4 linked regions of the Arabidopsis thaliana genome follow. The protein of the gene in region 2 interacts with the protein of the main gene of each other region in a pairwise test. Each region holds a gene or a part of one and is shown on either strand. Other genes may lie near its edges.

Region 1 (5,118 bases), on a different chromosome or scaffold from region 2:
TTGGCTTTTTAAACGCAACTGAGAGATGATCAAATCTGCTTCTGACTTTGTCTTTCTAAACACAGAGCTGCATTGAGACACAATATGGCTCTTTGTAAAGACAAGTTGGGTCACACTACGATCGACCTTGGCATTGCACCGGAGAGGCTAGAATCATGCGGCAGCGACTCGTGGGAGATTCTGAAGGAGACAAGAGGGAACCTTGTGTGCTTCCCATTACAGTTCATGTGTGATCAAGAAGATCTCAGACCAGGTTTCAACGAATCTGAGTTCTACACTGCTCCTCAAGTCTTCCACTAACCACTATTTATTGTACGCCCAGTTCTCTTTAATCAGTTAATAGAGTACCTAAGCTCACACGTTACTTATGTATAGAGATGTTAGTTATATAGAAAGAAGAAATTCATTTGATTGCTTCCTAGGTTCGCAGAGGTATGTGTGTGTATAGTATACACTTCTTGTAAATCATAATGTTTATGTGCCTCAAGCTGTACAATACATCTTCAATTGCGGATATGTTCTTACAACTTTGGAGTTGATATATGTTTGATTCTTGTTCCAAAAGCTTGTTTCCTCATCACATGTTTCATAATAACTTAAGAAGTTTCCCACTTTTTAAATGATTATTAAAATTACAAGTAACCAATTGTGTTCTTTAGATTGTGATAGGACTCTGGTTTGGCAAGAAAGTAATATTCAATGCGATTTTACGCAAGTCTATCTACATTGCAGCATTTTTTCTTTTCTTGCCCGGTCCAAAAGTACTAGTACCTACTTGCAGGTCGTGGCATGGAGAAGATGTTGCTATAGAGATGGCGACGACGATGAAGAATGGAAGAAGAGGCACACGGCAGAGATATCATCCATGGCGATTCCGCGTCTCTTTCTATTCCAAGCCCTAACTGCTTGCTGTACCAGTCGCTTGGCAGCTTTTGCCCGCTCCGCCGTCGAGGAAACAATATCTATGGCCTCTTGGTTTGATATCACATCCCATACCTATAATGTTTCAATTACATGACTACGCTGCCAATATAAACTAACAAAACAAAGTTGCTTATTCAAATGTTCTTACCCCATCAGTGGCCAAGATTATAAACTGGTCTCTAATGGATATATGCCTCTGAGTGACTTCAGGCACTGAGACCAATCCGTAATCTTTGATACAATAGTCTCCGAATGCTCTTGACATTGCGAGCCCCGGAGATTCATCTACTGGTTGCCATACACGGTGGACCCCTGGCTCATCTTGAAGGCAAAATACTCTCCCGTTGCATCCGATTATCCGCTCTTCCTCCTCTGTTTTAATAAGAAACAAAATTTGAAAGATAAAGATTCAGAACTGCTTAGCTAAATGCACTGAGATTTACATGATTTATTTATGCTTATGGAACTAACGAGGCAGGTTTGGCTTGAAATCTACGGTGAGCTGAACCGCGACCAAGCTTCCTTCGTCTGAAACTGTGGCCAATACCGCACGTGAATCCCCGACGTTTGCTATATAAATAACATCACCCTGTAGCAAGAAACCACTTAAGGATTAATGAACAGAGTAGCCTTTTTACAAGATTTTCTTCATATGAGGTAATGAATCTGATGCTCCATTTACCTGTCTCACAATGGTTAGAGCGGTCGTACCGCTGTTGAAAGAATCTATCTTTCGGTGATGCTCAAGCTCCAGATCAACAGCTTCACAGGTTTTGAGGAATGAGTATTTCCAGATTGCAAACCGCTGTAGCTCTTTATCGGGTTCTGCTATTGTGGTCTGAGAAAGAGTCTCTTTCCAGTTACAGAGCAAAGATATAGGCATTGAGTTTCTGACTTGTTTAGAAACAAAGTGTCCCCAGGGACCATGTCCATCGAATATCCCACAGAATATCATGTCTTCTTGACACCCATATCCCTGTTTCAGAAATTGTCAAAACATGATGAACAAATATTCGCAAATCAGTGTTTAAAGACCGTAATATCGGATAACTTAAAATCAACGGTAGAAGCATATAATGCGTTAAACTTAAGATCTTTGGACTGGTGATAATAACCCTAGATACAGAGGAGCATCCAAAACAAGCTAGAGGCACACGCACACGAAGCGAATTGTGCTAAGTAAACGCCAAAGACTGCAAAAGTTCCAAATAACCCAGCTCTAAGATAACTTTTTGTAGAAGTAATGTACCTCCCAGACGATGGCACAGTCCTGATTAACGCCTTTCTCACCGCGTCTAGAGAAAACAGAAGCCAAGTTATTAGATCCATCTGCATTAATGCAACCAGAGGATCTCAAAATAAGTTCCTTCTTCTTCGCCTCTCTCGCCATTTCATCTGTGGCTTCCTTAGCGTAGCTTTTGCTGCTGTTGATGTTCTTCGCTTTCTTGATCGAGAAGGATCTAGCTATACCGTTGAACATGGAAGAGAAATGTCCCATTTTGTCCAGAAAGTGAAAATATCATATGATCTTGAACTCTGTAAATGATAAATTCATAGAGTTTCAGATAGTTGCATTATATCAAAGAGCAAGAGGGAGATAAAATAATGTCAAAGTAGGAAATTCGTTTTTTGAGATTCGTTTTCCCGGGAAAAAAACAGGGGATAAAATATAAATTTGAGGTATTTAAAACAGTTATAAGGACAATAATGATTATAAGAGAATATTCATATCTGACTTGGAATTCCATTAACACAAGCTCTAACATTCCTCTAGAGTTATAAAATATATAATAACTTGTACGTAATATAGAGAATAATAATGGATATGATCTCAACTTGAAGTCAAATCGAGTTTTCTCTTTTAAGAAAACATATTTGGAGATAACTTATCATTATAGAAATCAAGTTGCAAGATTCGGAAATTGGAAATTGAAAATCAAGTTAAACAATCTGGAAATTGGAAACCCTTTGCCTAATTTTTGTGAAAACAAGATTTTCTTGTTTTTGAAATTTAAGCTTTTTAATCTACAAAAATAAAATAAGAACTGTGAAACAAATATTGTTGAATTGCACCAAAAATGTTTTCAAAAAGTAAATCAATTTCACAACAAGAACGTACAGAGAGAGGGACTAGGAGGAAGTGACGTGATACACACACACCAGATAGATTACGCAATGCTGCTGAGGAATGGAAGGAAAAAGAAGTGAAGACCGGATATAGATGACGTAAGCTCGGAGAAAGTGACGTAACCATCCAAGGGAGAGGAAGCTAATGGAGTAGAGAAAGATAGACTCACAAATCAGAAATCACAATCCATTTTATGATGATCACGGTGGGTAGACACAGGGAAGAACCAAACTTAGATATTTCTCTAAATTTATTTATTTATGGGGTTCTCCCTCTGTTCCCCTCTTATTTTCTTGTGGCATGATAATAAAGGCAGAGACGTAGCAAGACATAGTCTTTTGTCGTTAGTGGGTTATATATCTATTTATTATAAATCCTAAATTCCTAATGCAATTTAACTTAATTATTGGTTAGGGAAACTAGATATATGTTTGTGAAAACGAAAAAATTGATAGCAAATTTACTGCTCGTGTGATATTTAAGTTTGGTACTAGTAAACAGTGATGCAATATGACAAAATGATCCAACCTATAGGCTAAAATGTAGGGTGAAAAATATCACAAATTTGAAAAGTTAGGTATTTGTATAAATAGTACATAAATGGCTACAGTGTTAAAAGCAAAAGTCAATAATGAATCTGTGATTATAACTATCTTTTGAGTTTTTTTTTGGTCAAGAAATGAAATTCTATCTTCGAGTTAATGACTAGTCTAGTAGATAACAATGTAGATGTTTTCGCGTAAGTGATCAGTATATCAAAATAGGCCAATTTAGACTTTATTGTTTCTTTTCATAAACTTTGGTAATTAAGTTCAATAATGCAAAAAGATTGTTTCCGTAACGGGAAAAAATCAATTAGAAAATAAATGGCGTTGGCCTTTGAGCATACAAACCGAATAAAGTTCCGAAGATCGTAGCCATACACGTTTAACATGAAGATTCTAAATTATGAAAATTTTAAATAATGTCAAAAGGTCCATGCTTGTATACCTACCTCGAAACTAAAAAAAAATAAAAATAAAGTGAAACCAAATTTTGAGATTTTAAATTACGCAGTCTATATATCTCATGAAAAACCGAAAATAACAAAAATTTAGGTAGATTCGGTATTACCATCTAACCTTAGGGTTACATACTCTAGGCTCTAGCTATTATCAAAAGATTTCCATTAAAATAGTAACCCGAATCGAAAACCGTAACGTCACAGATTTGCAATTAATAAGACGCCGTGACGAAACTGTACTACAAGAAGCCTTTTCCCACAAGTGTATAGCGGACTAGCGGTGAGTGGACCCAGAGCGATGACCTGTTTGATGTGGTCGGCAACGATGGTGCAAAACAAAATCTTTGCATTGTCTCACGTAATTTAGAACTAATTACCACAAATGCCATTCAGGGTTGCGAAAGACCACCATATTTAAGATGATATTTCTGGCACGTGGGACAGAGCAACAAAGGATTCAGAGGAGAGCCTTTCGGTTTGAGGGCCAGACGCCGGTCATATCACAATTGAATGTGGAGGTTTCAGAGTAATATTTTTTTCGTTAGAAAAGTTAAAATTGGCAAAAGAGGCACGTGAGAACCACATTGATTAGTTCGGTCCTTGTAGGGTCCATGTTAGCGAGCACAATCTAAAAAAGGATCATGCCATTCGTCTGATTGACGCGTGGTTACCAGCAATCGCATGTGGGACGGTGCACCGGATAATGACACTTTCTTTGTGACTTTGTGTGCCGTGGCCTCTCGTTCCACTCCCACCCAGTCCCAACATGACCATTTTTCTTGTTATTTTATTGCTAGTTTTTTTTTTTTAATCCATAGAGAACATCATCTGATCTTAATCATAATAATCAATAATCATTGGAGTGGACTATGGAAATGTTAGTATGTTGAGTGGCTTTTAATTGGTTGTTAGTTGTAAGAAAATGATAAATAGTTTATTATCCAGTTGATACTTGATACAGTATCTAGAAGACTAGAAGCATCATAATTGCAATCATTACAAGGCGATAGTCTTTTTGTCCATTTTTTGGTTGAAAATTCAATTAATTGCGCATTATCTTCCT
Region 2 (5,565 bases):
TGTTTGCCCGGACCTAGTCAAAAGATAGCTAAGAGATTTTGACCCAAAAAAATAAAAGATAGCTAAAGACTAAGAGATATGGCAAAAAATTTGTGAGCAAATATAAATTGGAGATTACTTTACTAGAACCAATTATAAAAAAGGTGTAGCACAAACTTTTCATATAAGAAGTAGGGCCGGGCAAAATATTTGTTCGATCAGTTTCGATTCGATATTCAATTTAATTCGATTCAAAAAATCCGAATATCCGTAAGATTTAAAACCAAAACAAATAGAAAAATAAAGTATTCATAAAAATCGAAGCAAATAATAAATATTATTTTTTTAAAAATCGAATATCCGCTTCTATTACGACATTCGCACTTTACGGGACTTTCTATAACTTGCATCCGCATTGATCTAAGTTGATAGACCATATTGTAAAACATTCTTTATACGATTCTCAATGTGCGTTTTTTTTTATAGAAATTCGGATTGCATCTCTCAGATTTTGGTCTTTCCTTAACCAATTTCGAACCACTGTCAACTGCTTTCTTCAGATGGATTGACGTCTAAACGGTAAACCGTTCTTTATTTCCACTTTGATTGGGCCACTGAACGACTTAGCTTATGAGAGATTTCCCATCTTAAATCGCAACACTTAAGATCAACCGTCTTAGATATGTAAAGCAATCAATCACTAGTGCAATGTTGATCCTCACATTTAAAAAGATGGTTCCGCAAGAACAGGCGAATAAAAGATCTAAGTTCCACCAAAAAACCATAAGAAAACAAAGTCATGAGATAGTTAAGTCAATAGGGGTTGATTTCTAGTGAACGGGTAACCATTTCAGATATGGTTGGTTACAAGGGCTTATGAATATATCATTTCGCTCCCACGATGAAAATTTATGTAAGAAGACTTCTCGCAAGGTGCTCCCGAGCTGTTGCCAATGCTTGAGTTAATGTCTACAATACAAAATCCAAAAAATGGTCAACCGCATGATTGATATAAAGATTATCGCTTTGCTCGAAGGTAGTTTAGTAGTAGTCATATTGCGTCTCACCTGTTCAGAGAGTGAACCACTTGCTTCTGCGCTTTGCATTGCTACTTTCCCCGCAATAACATTCGCGTCTGTTTCAAGTACCATCCTGAACAAGTTTCATAAGACAATACAAAGATGAGTATCACAGTGATAGGGATTCAAAACAGTTAAACTTCTTTATCTAGTTACTAAAGAATTACACTTTCGAGAGACTTCATTAGCGAGAAAAGTCTCTACACTCTCAACCAATGCCCAAACCAAAACCCTCAACAAATCCAAAATGCCCCTAATGAATTCTCTAAGCTGTCTTTTAAGTCTTCAGCTATCAACTAACGGACGTAAGGTCTGTTCCTGAATTGGCAAAGCTACATATCCCATAACCCCCCCTTAGGCTAGTTGCAAATATTCTGCACTAGACTTAACAAGAACGCTTCAACACACGGCCAGAAGTTGTTCATCAATGATCAAACAATAAGTTCTCATAGTATCTAAGTACCAGATCTCACTATGTCCGTATTTAGCTCAACTCCATCAGCATATTAGAAAGCTAATTGTTAAGATATGAAGAGCAAGCTAAACTCAGCAATCTTTTAACTCTACACACCCATGTTTAAGAGTTGCAATAGATTTCCGAACTCAGTAATCTTTTAACTCTTGTGCAAGGCTAAAATGATAGATTTCCGAATTTAACATAGTAAAAAAATCGTAGAATAGTATTTGAAAGCATATGTAGCATACCCTTGATCAACCATCTCATCAAGGCACAAAAAGATGAGATCCAAGTTTTCAAGGGCTTCCATCTTTTCAACATTGTTCCTGTAAGGAGAAAGGATGTTCAACTTTAATTTCGTATATCACTGATCAAGAAAGGCACATAGTCATTTGTTAAGGTGGGTTAAATACCTCAGAAGTAACGCAACAGCATCAAAAAAGCCTTGAAGAACAGATGATAAGACGAGCTCGTTTTCATTTTCACCTCCAGTAACAAAGAAATGCAGGTCCTGGGCAAACTTATAGACAACAATATTACTCTCCAACAGTGTGATCTCAGCTGCAAAAAGTAAACATAAAAAAAAAAAATTATACACACCTACAAGTTGTTTGAAACAGGAAATATGCACATATGTAATCAGGAAACCCAATAGACAGCCAACAAGTAAAATATAATCTGAAGCTTTCATACTCCTATGATACAACAAACAGAGAACTACATATATAAATACTGTACATGTGTTGAAGTTTCAATTTGATCTTACCTTCTGTGCGAGCATTGGTCTTGGAGGTTTTCGAGAAGACATATTTTTCAAAAGCTAACTTGGAAGCATTAGTTGCCCAATCATCGGAGTAATACTTGACAGCCACACGCTTTCCTTCAGAGTCTAGAAGAAGAATGTTCTTTACCAAAGGACAAGAATCCTATTCATTGTAGACCAGATAGTCAGCATGTAAGTACTAAGAGAGAGAAGCACAAGCAGAAGCGAGAATCCTTAAAATGGATCATGTAAGTTTGAACTTCTACAACAGCAAAGTAGATAAAGATCACCAGTCCAACTATCACCAATCATATGGACAATTACACAGGGTCCAAAGCCTAAGTTTCTTGAGTATTTGTTGCCACCAATCAAACTAAAAAGCTAAATCAGCTACTCAATACTCATCATCTATGGCTTGACCAGATAGGCCAATCAAACCTATGGTGCTAAATGCTAATACATAAATTTGCTAAAAACACTTAGGACAAAAGATAATACAAGCTTTAGTTAAATTCAACCTGGCCAACAAAAGGACATACAAAAACATGACACACCAGACAAATGGCAGCTCCAACAGATAGAATCCAAATTATTTTGCATCAACAAACAAATGATGATATTGCACAAAAGCAGATTCATAAGCAATTGGAATTTTCTCAGCAGCAAAAGAACGTTTACAAAAATCTACCAGAACTTATGTTACTTAGACAGTAACAAAGCCTAATTATGCTTCCAGATTGAAAGATGCAAACAATCTTAGAACAATAGGGGCATGAACCTAAGATTCGTCACACCTTCTGAAAACATACTTACCCACTCAACAAACAAAACAAGAAAAAATCAATCTTAACATAGTGATCTTATACACAAACAGAGGAGATTATATTACACCACAATGCAAAGAATCTCATAAGTGTAACAAACCATAAAGCATCACAAGACTATTTACAGACAACAATATAATGATTCTTAACAGTATACAATGAGCTTAGAGATGTACTTACATTAGTCCCTGCCATTGTTTTTGATTCAAAATATACCTGAAAATAGTGATAAATTAAGTGTTATAACCACACACTACAAACACACAGAACAAAAACTGAGAAATCTATCTAATACATTTAGTCTAAGAAACAAAACTAGCACTGAATACACCAAGATCTAAGAAGAGAGTACTAGATCATCAGGGAAGATCTTAAAATTAAGGTTTCTACATAACCTCTAAGTCAAATTTCGATTCTCAATCTGAAAAACTTAACGATCAGATCTCTTACTGAAGCTATGAGAATGATAGATCATAATGGCAAATTGAAAACAATTAAAAACTTAGAAATCTACAGAGCCAAACAAAAATCTCATCAAAACTGTGAACGATAACAGAAAATATTTTATTCAGATCTCTAGAGAATGTCAATGGATCTTTCATCGATCTGACGAAATTAGAACGTAAATCATACGAATCTCGATAGGGATGAAGAAGCAATCAAACGGAGAAGACAAACTCGAGAAACTTTTACCTTTGAGATGGCTTTTTGAGCTGAAGAAGATGAGAGCTTGCGACGATGGTATGGAACTAACTGTTAAAGAAGACGCGAAGGTCTGATTATATTTTAGAATGAGTAGTCGGGATTCGGGAATATTGCAAATTAAACCCCAACATTTGAAATTATACAAACAAACCCAACATTTGAAAATCAGGAAACTCAAACTTAATTGTATAGTCTCCCGTTTACGCAAAATTAAATTAATAATAATATAACAAAATATGGTAAATTTCTCAGATAAATTCATCAAGGAGTATTTTGTAATTAATGTGTAGTTGGAAAAACAATATAATACTAAAATTTCAAAAAATAAAGATAATTATGTGAAAAGTTGTCTCTAACAAAAAAATGGAAAAACTTGTATATTTATATGAGAAGGATTGTAAATATTTTCGAAGATAAATTATAAATTACTTCTTCACCTCAAAATTTACTTGTTGAGGTCGTAAAGTCCGGATACATTGAGTTTGTAGAAATTCTACTTCGTTCGTGTCTCGACCTGCTATTGGAAGTTGATGATAACAATCAAAATCTATTTCATATTACTGCTTCAAATCGCCATGCAAACATTTTCAACAAAAATTATGATCCCCGAGCTAGGTAGGATTTGATAGTTTTGTATAAAGGCCCACTCCAAAATAATATTTTCCTTGTAAATGTTTACCATCTTCGGATCGGTTACAACAACACTTCAGATGCAAAGAGAACTACTATGGTCCGAGGTACAAAAAGCACAATTTATATGAAAAAGATTGTATAAATTTTAGTTCATATATTTAATTTTTTATATATTTTTTAAGTTTCAGATTTTAATAATAATTTAGGAAAGAATAATTTTCCAAATATAGAATAAATCTTTATATAAAGATACCTAAAAATGTTGAAATATGATAACTTGTCTCTAACAAAAAATCGAAAAATTGGCATATCCTTAAAATATGTAATAAAATTAAAATTAGATCTAAGAGATGGGAGGTATACATTTTATTTCACTTTTGAAATATTTTTTTTGTTAAATACTAATTTTGGAACCTTTGGTAGACAGTTATACCATAATCATTTATAGATAAGAATGGAAATTATATTTGTGCCATCTATGCACTAAATATTATAATCGCCATTAACTTGAGAGTCTTGACCAGAGTCCTTGCAATATTAAGAAAGTTCAGTTCAAATAACAGACACATAATTTGTTGTGGAGAATCATAAAACTAATTCATTCATACCTCAAGTGCTTTATCAAAATCATCTAGCTTATTGATCCAGAGTGCTTCTGGCTTTCAGAGTTGATAGTACCCAGTCTTTTATTCACGTAATCTAATTATGCCTTTAATGCATCTATTTTGAAGGATCTCTAATCATCGAGATAAGATCCTCTGGGACGTAGTCATAGCTTCTTGATGAGTTCACTGTCTTGCCATATTTTTAAAAACCATTCTTTTCCAAGACCACATCAAGATCGGGACTGATGTTTATTTCTCCATTGAGAACTCTTTGGACAATTGCTAATTTGGACTCTAACTTATTCCGCTCAAAAGTTAAAATATCCACCATATAATCATGTGTATTAGGAGTAAGATTAGTTACTAAAACAAGACCATTGCCTTAATAACTAAAACAAGACCCATAGTGTCTGATTTACATACCTTCCTTTCACCACACCATTTTAGCCTCTCTTCCTTAAAATCTTGAAGGACCAAAAAACTGATATTAATATTAATTAAGTGATAACTAATTATTTAT
Region 3 (6,045 bases), about 10 Mb from region 2:
ATGCGAGCTCGTGGGGCGCAGCGCTGGTAAGGATCTCGCCGTATACTTTCTCCGCAATCGGAATCGCCATCTCGATCGGTGTCTCAGTCCTCGGTGCCGCCTGGTAAATCGAATCTTATTCTTCTTCGTCCCCGCAGATTAAAGCATTGACCTTTTTCATCATCTTTTTTTGGTTTGTCTTATTCAGGGGAATTTACATTACGGGAAGTAGTTTGATCGGTGCGGCTATAGAAGCTCCTCGTATTACTTCGAAGAATCTCATCAGGTTCGTTAAAAGTTTCAAGCTTTTTTAATTCTAGTTTTGTTCCTTTGGTTGATCAATTAGTGGCTTTAAGGAACTGTGTAGATTCCATGTCTTGTTCTGAATAGCAATGAGAATTCATCGCTGAGTAGCTTGATTCATTTGGATATTTCAATGCCACATCTCTGCAAGAGTAGATTGTCACATTATGATACAAGTTGTTGACCTGGGATTCAGGAGGTAGAAATTTAGAATTCTCAAGGACTCATCTGGTTGGTAGGGCTAGTAACTTTGGATCGTGAAGGCTCTGGCTTTGCGGATTCAAGCACTGGATGTAATGATAATGAAGTGTCTTTTGTCTTTCCACGTATTTCAGCAGAAACATATATCTACCATCGAGATAGCTAAATGTTAAATTAGGGGATATAGATTTAAAGTTTGTGTTTACGTTATTTGTGGTGCCTTCCTATTCCGCTCCTTCATTCTTGGGCCGGAGTCACTTAAGTAAACACTCAACACAGTCATTGCTATTATATCCCATGGGTCTACGGGGTAGATTTAAGGAATGCTTAACAGGGAGTAGCTGTGTATGCAATTTGATTTGTTGTTACAGAGCTACAGGCTTGGAGTTAGATGCTCTGCAACATCAGTGTCAACAGTGTCATTACCACACACCATTTCTTAACCATATTGAGTAGAGCATTTGGCTGTAAAGGCACTAGTACTTAGGAATGCTTAAGTAGGAAACAGTTGTGTTTGCATTCTACATTTTCTACTTTGTTAACACTTAACAGAGCTTTAGGCTCAAGATTAGATGCAAAAAGTATACAATGACGAAGCATTTCTTGTTCTTTTAAACTGTCCCAGTGTCATCTTTTGCGAAGCTGTTGCTATATATGGAGTTATTGTTGCAATCATACTGCAAACAAAGTTGGAGAGTGTCCCATCTTCAAAGATGTATGATGCTGAGTCTCTTAGAGCTGGATATGCAATCTTTGCATCTGGAATTATAGTTGGATTCGCCAACCTTGTATGCGGGTCTGTATCTACCCTTTTCTCCTTCCTTACAGTTTTGGTTTTTGGATTCCATTGTCAGATATGCAACCGAGGTCCACATTTCTCTTGCAGGTTATGTGTAGGAATCATTGGAAGCAGTTGTGCATTGTCCGATGCTCAGAACTCCACACTTTTTGTAAAGATTCTTGTGATCGAGATATTCGGGAGTGCTCTCGGGTTGTTTGGAGTTATTGTGGGAATTATTATGTCTGCACAAGCGACATGGCCAACGAAATAGATATATATATATCCGGTCTGTATATGTTGTGGTCTACTTGCAAATCTGGAAAAACATGGCTTCTTGATTATCTTCATTGTTATATCGTTCCAATGTCTAGACGAAAATCTTGTGTGAAAACTGAGAACCACTTTTGGATCCCCAATTTTTTGTATTTGTTTAAAACTTTTGAATAAGTCCTTTTGGAGAACATCTTCATGTTTGTATTCTCTTATAATCAAAGACAAAGAGTTTGTATATGATTTGTTAAAACTGAACTAGTCATTTTATCAAGTCTGTTTCCTCTATATACTGTAGTTATGTTTTATCTTTTTTTTTTCTTTCTCAAGTTATGATTTATCTCAAGCAATTATGTTGTTGATACAAATGGTCTTGCCTCTTTGGCCACACCCTGTGTAGTGCTGTACCCAACAAAACCAATGAAAGAATTCGATCTATACAAATTGCATACCAAGCAGAACCGTTTTGTCCTAAACCAATCATCACACTAGACGACGTCGTTTCACGTGTGATATTTAGGTGGCTGTCCCGTTCCTGGAACCCGGAGCTTTTTTTGTTGTGATATATCCCGTAAAACCCTAAACATAGTCACTTCATCGTCTCCTCCACTGTATCATTCAATCTCTGTCTTCCTTCTTTTTAGCGACCTCGTCTCCAAAGCTCACAAATTTTCTACCTTTCCGGTGAGTGTTACTCTGTTCTCGTTTCCTCGCTTGTCTCTTTCTGGGTTTTTAGTTTCCGAAAGATTTTCCTTTCAAAATCCGTTTTTGAATGCGAATTCCCTCTGCTGTATCTATTATATTTAGTAATTTGATGTATTGTTTGGTTGGTATGAGCTGATAAAGTTCAACACGTTTGTTGTTCACTTTTGGGAAAATTTGCGATAAAACAAGGATTTTTTTACAATTTTGACATATATATATATATATATATATATATATATATATATATATATTTGAGACGAGAATATTTGTTCAGATATCTACTGAGTAAAATTAGTGGTCTCTCTGTTTATTGCGTTCATGTGACATTTGGAATTTTTGAGTCTAGGAGTAGAGAGAAAGATGCAAGCTTGTTGTGGTGGTAATTCGATGGCTTCTCTTCAGCAACCTGGACGGGTTCAAGGATCTGTCTTTCCCCCAATTATGCCTCCAGTGACCAAATTTTCTCAGCAGTTGAAGTTCAATATTTCAAAACCTTTCCGTTCTTCATTTCTGAAAAGAAACCTGGTCTCTGAAATGAGAGCATCTTCAGTCTCGCTACCTAATGTCGAGATAAGCAGTAAGATAGTTTAAGTTTCATTTCCTTGATTATGTTGATGATGTGAAAGATATTTTTACTTGTTTCATGCGTGGTTTTGATTTCTTTTTACTTTTTGATGACTGAATATCTAGGCAAAGAAATCCCTTTTGAGGACTATGGTCTTGGTGAAGTTGATCCAGAGGTCCGAACCATCATCACAAAGGAGAAAGATAGACAATTCAGGAGCTTGGAGCTTATTGCATCTGAGAATTTCACGTCTCGAGCAGTTATGGAGGCGGTTGGCTCATGCCTTACCAACAAGTATTCTGAGGGACTGCCTGGTAAAAGGTAATGAAGTATGTAAGATTAGTTTTTGTGGTGCACTTCTGTCTCATCTGCTAGATTTCATAGTATTTCTGTTGTCCATGTCTCACAGATATTATGGTGGCAATGAGTACATTGATCAGTTGGAGACGCTTTGCCAGAACCGGGCTTTGGCAGCCTTCCGCTTAGATTCTACGAAATGGGGGGTTAATGTTCAGCCGTTATCTGGTTCACCTGCAAACTTTGCTGTCTACACTGCGATACTTAGCCCTCATGATCGGATCATGGTAAAGAACTTTTGCACTCTTCATCTCCGCTTTACTTGTGTGCTTGATATAGATTGAATATAATGGCTTGTTTTATACGATTAGGGTTTGGATTTACCTCACGGTGGTCATCTGTCGCATGGGTTCATGACCGCTAAAAGGCGTGTATCTGGAACTTCAATATACTTTGAGTCCATGCCTTATCGACTTGATGAATCAACAGGTAATGCATTTCTTATGAGAAGGGTCTCTGAAACTACTTTTGTATGAGGCTATTTCCTGATGTCTGAATATTTGAACAGGCATTGTTGACTACGATATGCTCGAGAAAACTGCTACACTTTTCAGACCAAAGCTTATTATCGCAGGAGCTAGTGCATACAGCCGAGATTTTGACTATCCTCGCATGAGGAAGGTAGAAACACAACCTGATCCTTGAAAACACCTTTCATGTTTCTGTCTACTTTTGGCTTTCAAATATAAATCTGTTATTTCATTTTCCTCACAATTTGTATGAATTTCTGAAGATCGCAGACTCAGTTGGTGCTTTTCTGATGATGGATATGGCTCATATCAGTGGGCTTGTGGCTGCTTCTGTGGTAGCTGACCCTTTTGAGTATTGTGATATTGTTACAACAACAACTCACAAGGTATGTATGTTCCGAAATATGAAACATGATTTCCATTTGTATTTAGACAAAAAGCGTTTCCAGATTATCTGTTAGTAACACACTTTTACCTTACTAGTCTTTGAGAGGTCCGAGAGGTGGCATGATCTTCTTCAGGAAGGATCCAATTAATGGGGTTGATCTTGAATCTGCCGTGAACAATGCTGTCTTCCCTGGTTTGCAGGTTGAGATATTCACCATTATTTTTAGCTCTCTTAGATAATTCTTCTCCCAACGTGATTAAAAGTTGTCTGAATTGTATATTTGAAGGGTGGCCCTCATAACCACACAATTGGAGGATTAGCAGTCTGCTTGAAACACGCACAATCACCGGAATTCAAGGCGTACCAGAAAAGAGTACCCACCCTTTTACTTGATCATTAAGTTCTTCTGCACCGGATAAAGTTTGTAAATTTTGCTTCTAACAAGAATCTTTTGCTGCTTGTTTAGGTTGTGTCTAACTGTAGAGCTCTAGCTAACCGATTGGTTGAACTCGGGTTTAAGCTAGTTTCTGGTGGCAGCGATAACCACTTGGTTCTCGTCGATCTTAGACCCATGGTAAGTTTACAAACTGTATTAATGGCTTGAATAAATCAACTTTTTTCTTAAACCAGAAAATCACTTATGATAATGCGGTGTCAGTCTAACATTTTTGTTGTGGTTAGGGTATGGATGGTGCGCGGGTTGAGAAAATCTTAGACATGGCATCTATTACTCTCAACAAGAACTCTGTCCCTGGTGAGTTCGTCCTCCTACTCTCGGTCTTCTTCTTCCCATTTGAAAAGTCAATTCTGAGAGAAGCCCTCTTACTCTTTTACAAAACAGAAATGAAGTCGATAAGTAGAACTTGTAGAACACAACTGTTAAAGAAATGCTTAATTGTTGTTATAGCAAAATCATCAATTGCTATATTTATATGTTTGATTCCCCTAGAGTAGTGAAATTGAGACAGTGTTGTTGTGTATGTGAAATGGTGAAACAGGGGACAAAAGTGCGTTGGTACCAGGGGGAATAAGGATAGGATCCCCCGCGATGACGACAAGAGGACTGTCAGAGAAAGACTTTGTAGTAGTGGCTGACTTCATCAAGGAAGGTGTGGAGATAACAATGGAAGCCAAGAAAGCCGCGCCGGGTTCAAAGCTTCAAGATTTCAACAAGTTCGTGACATCTCCTGAGTTTCCATTGAAAGAGAGAGTGAAGAGTCTAAAGGAGAGAGTGGAAACCTTCACATCTCGTTTTCCCATTCCTGGCGTTTAAGCTATAAACACACACAGATATGCTCTTGTTGTACCTTAATTATTCACCTTTTTCATCTGTCTTTTAGGGTTTTTACTTGCTTGTGTCCCAAGTTTAAAGTTACAGTTGAATCGAGAGAAATTATTTTCAAAAATAAATTTATTTGTGGAACAATGATTCGTCTATGTTCCCAAATCTCAATCAATATTTAGTATAATCAGTTGTTGTGAAAGAAAAAAATAATAATAATTTGAAAAATTGTTTTTAGCGAAGAGAGCAAATATTTCGCGGGATGTGGCGAATATATCTCACCCAATCTTTCTCTTTCATGCGTTTTTTTTGTTGCCTTCTCCAAATATTCATCTCTGCCTCCTCTCAGGGATAGACTCTCTCTCTCTCTCTCTTTCTTTCTAAAACTAAAACAAAAGAAAGAGAGAGATCCCAAATTCAACGATAACAGATTTTATCTGCTTTTTTTTTTTGTTTCGTTTCTTCTCCCTCGCTCCCCACCGGATTATATATCTCACCGGAAATCGGATCTCTCACGTTGGTCGATTTTTCTATTACGGCGGCGGCCATCGCTTTCTTCTTCTCCTCCAGGTGCGTGCGATCTTACTTTCTTCCTTGAGACTTTGGTTTACGCATGCACCTCTGTGTCTCTGTCTGTACGTACGTCATTGATTTCATTTCGGATTTTCTCCTTTGTTTGATCGATTTGTATAGTTAAACAACATTAATATGGAAACTCAAGTGTTTTTAGGCTTTGATTCTTCT
Region 4 (4,810 bases), on a different chromosome or scaffold from region 2:
ACAGTTTTGTTGTCACGAATTATCCACATAACCACTTGTCCTTATCACGTTCTTTTAATCACAAACCCAAAACTGATGACTTTGTGGGTTCTACTTTGGTAAGATAATTCAGCTTCAACCATAGAGAAAAAGAGCTAAACCAATATGAAAGGAGTTAGTGATTTTGACCAAGAGATGCTTCGGAGAGTTTTTGACTTTCTTTTTTCCATGTCAGCCCATTATTACCTATGAGACTTATTATGTTCCACGCCGCATCTGATTACACCACAGACGCACCAAACCCCCAAACCTAATCCGCCACGAAAACGCCTCTCGACCCATAAAAGAGGCAACCCTCATTATAAGCTATTATAAATAACGCCAGACATAACTTCTCTCATTGACCCAACTACCCCTAAAACACACTGCGTGAACGGGGGTAATCTCGTCATTGAATCGGTGATGACTGGGTAATTTAACTGGCTTGAATTCAGCGAACAGTTTCAGGAACCAAGCATCGTGACGTGAAACTTGGCCACCAACACCAATCACCATCATCTCGATGTGAGGAGGCACTAGATTGCAAAAATAGGAAAAAGCAAAGAAGATAGATAGGTTTTGAGTTTCATCTATGAAGAAAAAGAACGTGATCACGTCAGAGTAACAGAGTGATATTATCGGTCAACGCTAAGTCGGAGTATAGATAGAAAGGCCAAGATGGCGTGACCGGCGAAGAAGCCGATCCCGGACTAAAATGACGTAAATGGCCTCAAGAGAAACAAATAGGCATAGAGGGGCAAAACTGGAAGTAGTTGCGGAAAACAAGGAAGACTGAGATTACGTGAAAATGGATATCAGGTAAAAAGTACGACTAGGCTTCGTTATAACCCGGTGGCTAGTCACCGTCAAAACGCCGCATCCCGAGGGGTATAGTTGTCAAACACACAGAACAGAGTAAAGCAGAAGTTTCAAAAACTGTTGAACATATAAACCAAAGGGAAATTATCGAACGAACCTTAGATCTAACGGCCTCAGACAGTTTCACAACGCCACTTGACTCCTCAAATCCATCAACGGCAGCAGCAGCACCGCCTCCACCGCCGCTAAAAGAGGTTGCGCCGCTCCATGAAAGTGGGGTCGTGGGACTAGCACGCGTATCATGATCTCCCTTCTTCCTTAACGTCGCCGCCTTGGTCCTCGGCTGACGCACGCTCCACTTCAGCTTGAGATCCGACGCGCCGCCGCTCTTCGTCTCAGGAAGTGACGGCTCGGCATGGAGGAGACAGATCAGAGCCTCCGCCACTAATGAATCATCACCCATAGCCTCGTGAATCCAGTCTCCGCCGGTCATAGTCTGAGGTTGGACCTTCCACCGAATTTAGATAGAGAGAGAGAAAGAGAAGGAGAAGAAATGGTGGCGAAAAGTGGAGAAGAAGAAAAAATCTCCCGTGGCACATTAATGGGTGGATTTTTATTATATATAACGTTTTCACACATACAGTTATTAGATTGAAAAATTATTTTTAAATCTGTCTTTTATTTTCTTTCTTGGTGAGAGTGGGACCCATGGGAATACATACGTGGCATATAGTATTTGTACTTTGTGCAATTGCAAAGGTACTAGGGTTAGCGTCTGAATACACGCGCGGTTAGTGACATCTTTATGGCTTGCGTGCCGGTTCAGTTACATCCATTACTCTTATCATATGCAGTTTCGGGATAAATTTGTGGACGTGTGAGGTCATTCTTACTTGAATCACATTTTCGTACTTCATGATTGTAGATAGATGCCATATTGCCTATGTAGGATAAAGTTTTACGAAATTAGGATTAGTTAACTTATGTATTTATATTAAGTATGCATTGAACTCGTTTTCTTTTTCTTTTTTGGCTAGGATTGAAAATTATAATTTAATGTCCATTCATACAGTATTTACTGTCCATAATACTCCAAAAATTTGAAACAAATTATCCAATTATTAAATGGTCGCTAAATTCGAAAAACCTAAGGGCTTTGTTGTGGGTACATGGGTCGAAAACAGAAAGATGAATTGGGCCTTTTCACATGTCCGTCATGTTGCAATGTAAGAATTATATCCGGTTCTTAATCAGATTTTGCCTGACCATTTCTGATTCATAACTAACCGGAAAAGTCAACAGTTCAATGCACTTAAACCGGTTCTACCTTAATCTGTTATCGTCATCACTTACACTCTCTCGCAAACACCCAAAGCCCTAAAATCCTTAGGAGCAACCAAAATCATGGCGCTTCATCTCGCCAGACGCCACCAAAGGTTACCATCAAACACATCTTTGATTCGATTTTTCTCCAATTCCTCATCGGACTCACCTCCCCAATTCACGAACGCACCGGTTGAAAAACCGTCTCAGTCACCATCTTCTCCGTCACCGTCAGACTCTTCTCCGATCTTCGACATCAAGAACACTCTGAAACTGAAATTACAGAACCAGCAGGAGCAAGGAAGGAAACCATTTGACAGATCCGATGCACAATCTCAGAATCGCGGATCGACTAGTTTCTCCCAAAACTTGGGGAAGAATCTCGCCAAGTTTCAGCGGAGATCCACCGTTCCACCTCCGAGGGATTCAGGCGGCGTACAGCCTCCGTCTTATATTTCCTTAGCGGGCCTCTATAAGCAGAGCGCTGCAACAAACTCATCGGATCCTAGAAATTCGAAAGCTCAGGGTTTCAATTCAAACACTGTAAGTGAAACTTTAAAGAATTTGAGGACGCAGATTAACACTTCAAACAACATGGGGAAGAGAGGAGGGGTTTTAGGAAGTTTCAAGAGCACTGTAGGTGAAGCATTGCCAAAATACCTGTTCGAAACACAAATGGATGAGAGTAAGGGAAGTGAAGGTGAAACAGAGGAGGCGATGACGGAGTTCTTAATGTTTTATAACGAAGAAGAATTAGGTGAGAAACTAAGGACGCTTAGGCCAGAAGGAGAGAAAAAAGAAGGATGGTTCTCATTGGAGGAGTTGAATCAGAGATTGGTTAAGCTAAGGCAAGTTGAAGAGAAAGAGGCACAATATCGGACTAAGAACTTTGCCCAACTCAGAAATGTTATTTCATCATTTAAGAATGAGAATTCTGAAGCTAGTTCCCGTACGTTCTGAGCCTCTCATTACTCTCTCTCTCTCTCTGTGTCTAATCTTTGCGAATTTTAATTGGTTGTCTTTGCTTAGGACTCGAGGTGTTGAGATCTTGGTTTGATTTTTGTTGTTGAAATGATGTTTATGTGATATAACGAGGTTTCTTTGCTTGCAGAGCAGAATGTCGCCATTATGGGCCATCTCGGTGGTATCCCTGAATACAAGCTTCTTCCTCCAAAAGAGGATCTAGTTGACACTGTAAGCTTTTCGCTCTTAGACTTTAGAGCTAGTAGCTTGTCACTTTAATTAGTCATGAACCAAAAGGCTTATATGATAGTTTCTACAATTCTGTGTTGATCTGTTGTGACAATGGGTATTGATCTGTTTTGTTTGACTGCATCAACAAAGTATTTCCACCCAGATAACATGTCCTCTGCGGAGAAGATGAAAATTGAGCTCTCGAAAGTCAGGGAAGAGTTCAAGATGTCAGAATCAGACTGTGGTTCTGCACGTGTGCAAGGTAAACTCTACATAAGGCCAGTGGTCTGATCAATGTTGACTTTAGCCATTTAAAGGTTTACACGTTCTAAGATAGATTGTCTTGTGATGTCTCTGGTCTCTCCTTACAGTGGCACAACTCACTACTAAGATCAAGCATTTATCCTCAAGTTTGCACAAAAAGGTAAAACTTCAAACTGTTTTCGATATTTTTGTGAAGCTATCCATCCCAGTTTCTTGTGGAACCTTATGTCATACCTGTTGGTGGCTGTACCGTAGGACAAGCATTCGCGGAAGGGACTTTTAGGAATGGTGCAGAAACGGAAGAAACTGTTGAAATATCTAAGACGAACTGACTGGGATTCTTACTGCCTTGTCCTGTCAAAACTCAGCCTTCGTGACAACCCGGATTACAAGTGCTAAGCTTTATTGCACTAGAGACCCGATGATGGTATCTGTGCACTCTTTTGGTTCAACCAACTTACTGTTGTGAGTGAGACTTAGCTGTTCAAACCCTGTTAGGCATTTTCCACTCTAGGGAAGAAAGTCGCTCTATTCTATTTTGTCCTCTTACTCCAGTGTTTCAGCTGGAGCTCTTCAATCATGCATTTGTGGCAAAGAAATGAAGTTGTGGATCTCTTTCATTGATGTTTAGTATTCCCTTTCACATTTGAGTTGTGATAATAAAGTTATCTACGAACAAGCCTCATGATTTCATTTTACATTTATAGCAATGGTTTGATGATCTTTTCCCAAATGTCACATTGAAGAAGAGAAACATTAGGTTTTTGGAAGAGAAATTGTATCTACAGAATCAAAAACATCATGCCGTTTTCTCACAAACCAAGAGCACCGAGAGGCGTTTTCCCCTGCCCGGCCTCAAAGTAAAAGATCAACATGGCAACCATTGCGAGCCTCGAGTGCTTAATCTCTGCCAATTTCAGCCTCTCCAGCTTCTCAAAGTCCGGCTCATAAACACCGTCGCGGTTTTTCCCGGCGAGACCCAACGGATCGAAGAATCTCCCACCGGGGTATCCCTGATCGCCGGTATAGTTCGCGAAATTCTCGGCGGTCTTCGACCATGGCGTTGCCCACTCAACCGATTGAGAATCCGGGTTGAAGAAATCGACCCATCGTTTGCTCTCCACCCAACCCATGAGAAGCAATTGGGTTCCAAGAAGCGACCCGAACGAGAAGGGAGCGATCGCGTCTGGCT

Evidence for each region.
Region 1: the proteins of AT4G08520 (region 2) and AT3G05640 interact in a two-hybrid assay, tested with the Arabidopsis thaliana proteins (one large-scale study listed by BioGRID).
Region 3: the proteins of AT4G08520 (region 2) and SHM3 interact in a two-hybrid assay, tested with the Arabidopsis thaliana proteins (one large-scale study listed by BioGRID).
Region 4: the proteins of AT4G08520 (region 2) and AT1G15810 interact in a two-hybrid assay, tested with the Arabidopsis thaliana proteins (one large-scale study listed by BioGRID).

What each region holds. Positions count from the first base shown.
Region 1 is NC_003074.8:1,639,806-1,644,923, forward strand, and holds AT3G05640 (Protein phosphatase 2C family protein), read right to left. Parts: upstream 3,449-5,118; 5' UTR 3,044-3,448; intron 2,461-3,043; 5' UTR 2,423-2,460; coding exon 2,174-2,422; intron 1,901-2,173; coding exon 1,607-1,900; intron 1,514-1,606; coding exon 1,396-1,513; intron 1,297-1,395; coding exon 1,073-1,296; intron 997-1,072; coding exon 805-996; 3' UTR 545-804; downstream 1-544. Other genes in the region: PLDP2 (phospholipase D P2), read left to right, coding at 66-300.
Region 2 is NC_003075.7:5,415,619-5,421,183, reverse strand, and holds AT4G08520 (SNARE-like superfamily protein), read right to left. Parts: upstream 3,976-5,565; 5' UTR 3,796-3,975; intron 3,319-3,795; 5' UTR 3,298-3,318; coding exon 3,283-3,297; intron 2,442-3,282; coding exon 2,282-2,441; intron 2,077-2,281; coding exon 1,929-2,076; intron 1,842-1,928; coding exon 1,764-1,841; intron 1,132-1,763; coding exon 1,047-1,131; intron 949-1,046; coding exon 889-948; 3' UTR 545-888; downstream 1-544. UniProt on the Arabidopsis thaliana protein: The coatomer is a cytosolic protein complex that binds to dilysine motifs and reversibly associates with Golgi non-clathrin-coated vesicles, which further mediate biosynthetic protein transport from the ER, via the Golgi up to the trans Golgi network.
Region 3 is NC_003075.7:15,688,889-15,694,933, reverse strand, and holds SHM3 (serine hydroxymethyltransferase 3), read left to right. Parts: upstream 1-1,944; 5' UTR 1,945-2,218; intron 2,219-2,585; 5' UTR 2,586-2,599; coding exon 2,600-2,816; intron 2,817-2,929; coding exon 2,930-3,125; intron 3,126-3,213; coding exon 3,214-3,388; intron 3,389-3,472; coding exon 3,473-3,590; intron 3,591-3,669; coding exon 3,670-3,782; intron 3,783-3,894; coding exon 3,895-4,017; intron 4,018-4,114; coding exon 4,115-4,219; intron 4,220-4,305; coding exon 4,306-4,392; intron 4,393-4,485; coding exon 4,486-4,593; intron 4,594-4,700; coding exon 4,701-4,773; intron 4,774-5,017; coding exon 5,018-5,292; 3' UTR 5,293-5,498; downstream 5,499-6,045. Other genes in the region: AT4G32535 (uncharacterized protein), read right to left, coding at 318-426, 532-630, 690-766; AT4G32530 (ATPase, F0/V0 complex, subunit C protein), read left to right, coding at 1-103, 188-265, 1,109-1,535. UniProt on the Arabidopsis thaliana protein: Catalyzes the interconversion of serine and glycine and directs the hydroxymethyl moiety of serine into the metabolic network of H4PteGlu(n)-bound one-carbon units.
Region 4 is NC_003070.9:5,442,255-5,447,064, forward strand, and holds AT1G15810 (S15/NS1, RNA-binding protein), read left to right. Parts: upstream 1-1,965; 5' UTR 1,966-2,241; coding exon 2,242-3,109; exon of another isoform or gene 3,110-3,271; coding exon 3,272-3,354; exon of another isoform or gene 3,355-3,504; coding exon 3,505-3,616; intron 3,617-3,725; coding exon 3,726-3,778; intron 3,779-3,873; coding exon 3,874-4,017; 3' UTR 4,018-4,310; downstream 4,311-4,810. Other genes in the region: AT1G15800 (uncharacterized protein), read right to left, coding at 995-1,330; LHCB6 (light harvesting complex photosystem II subunit 6), read right to left, coding at 4,431-4,810.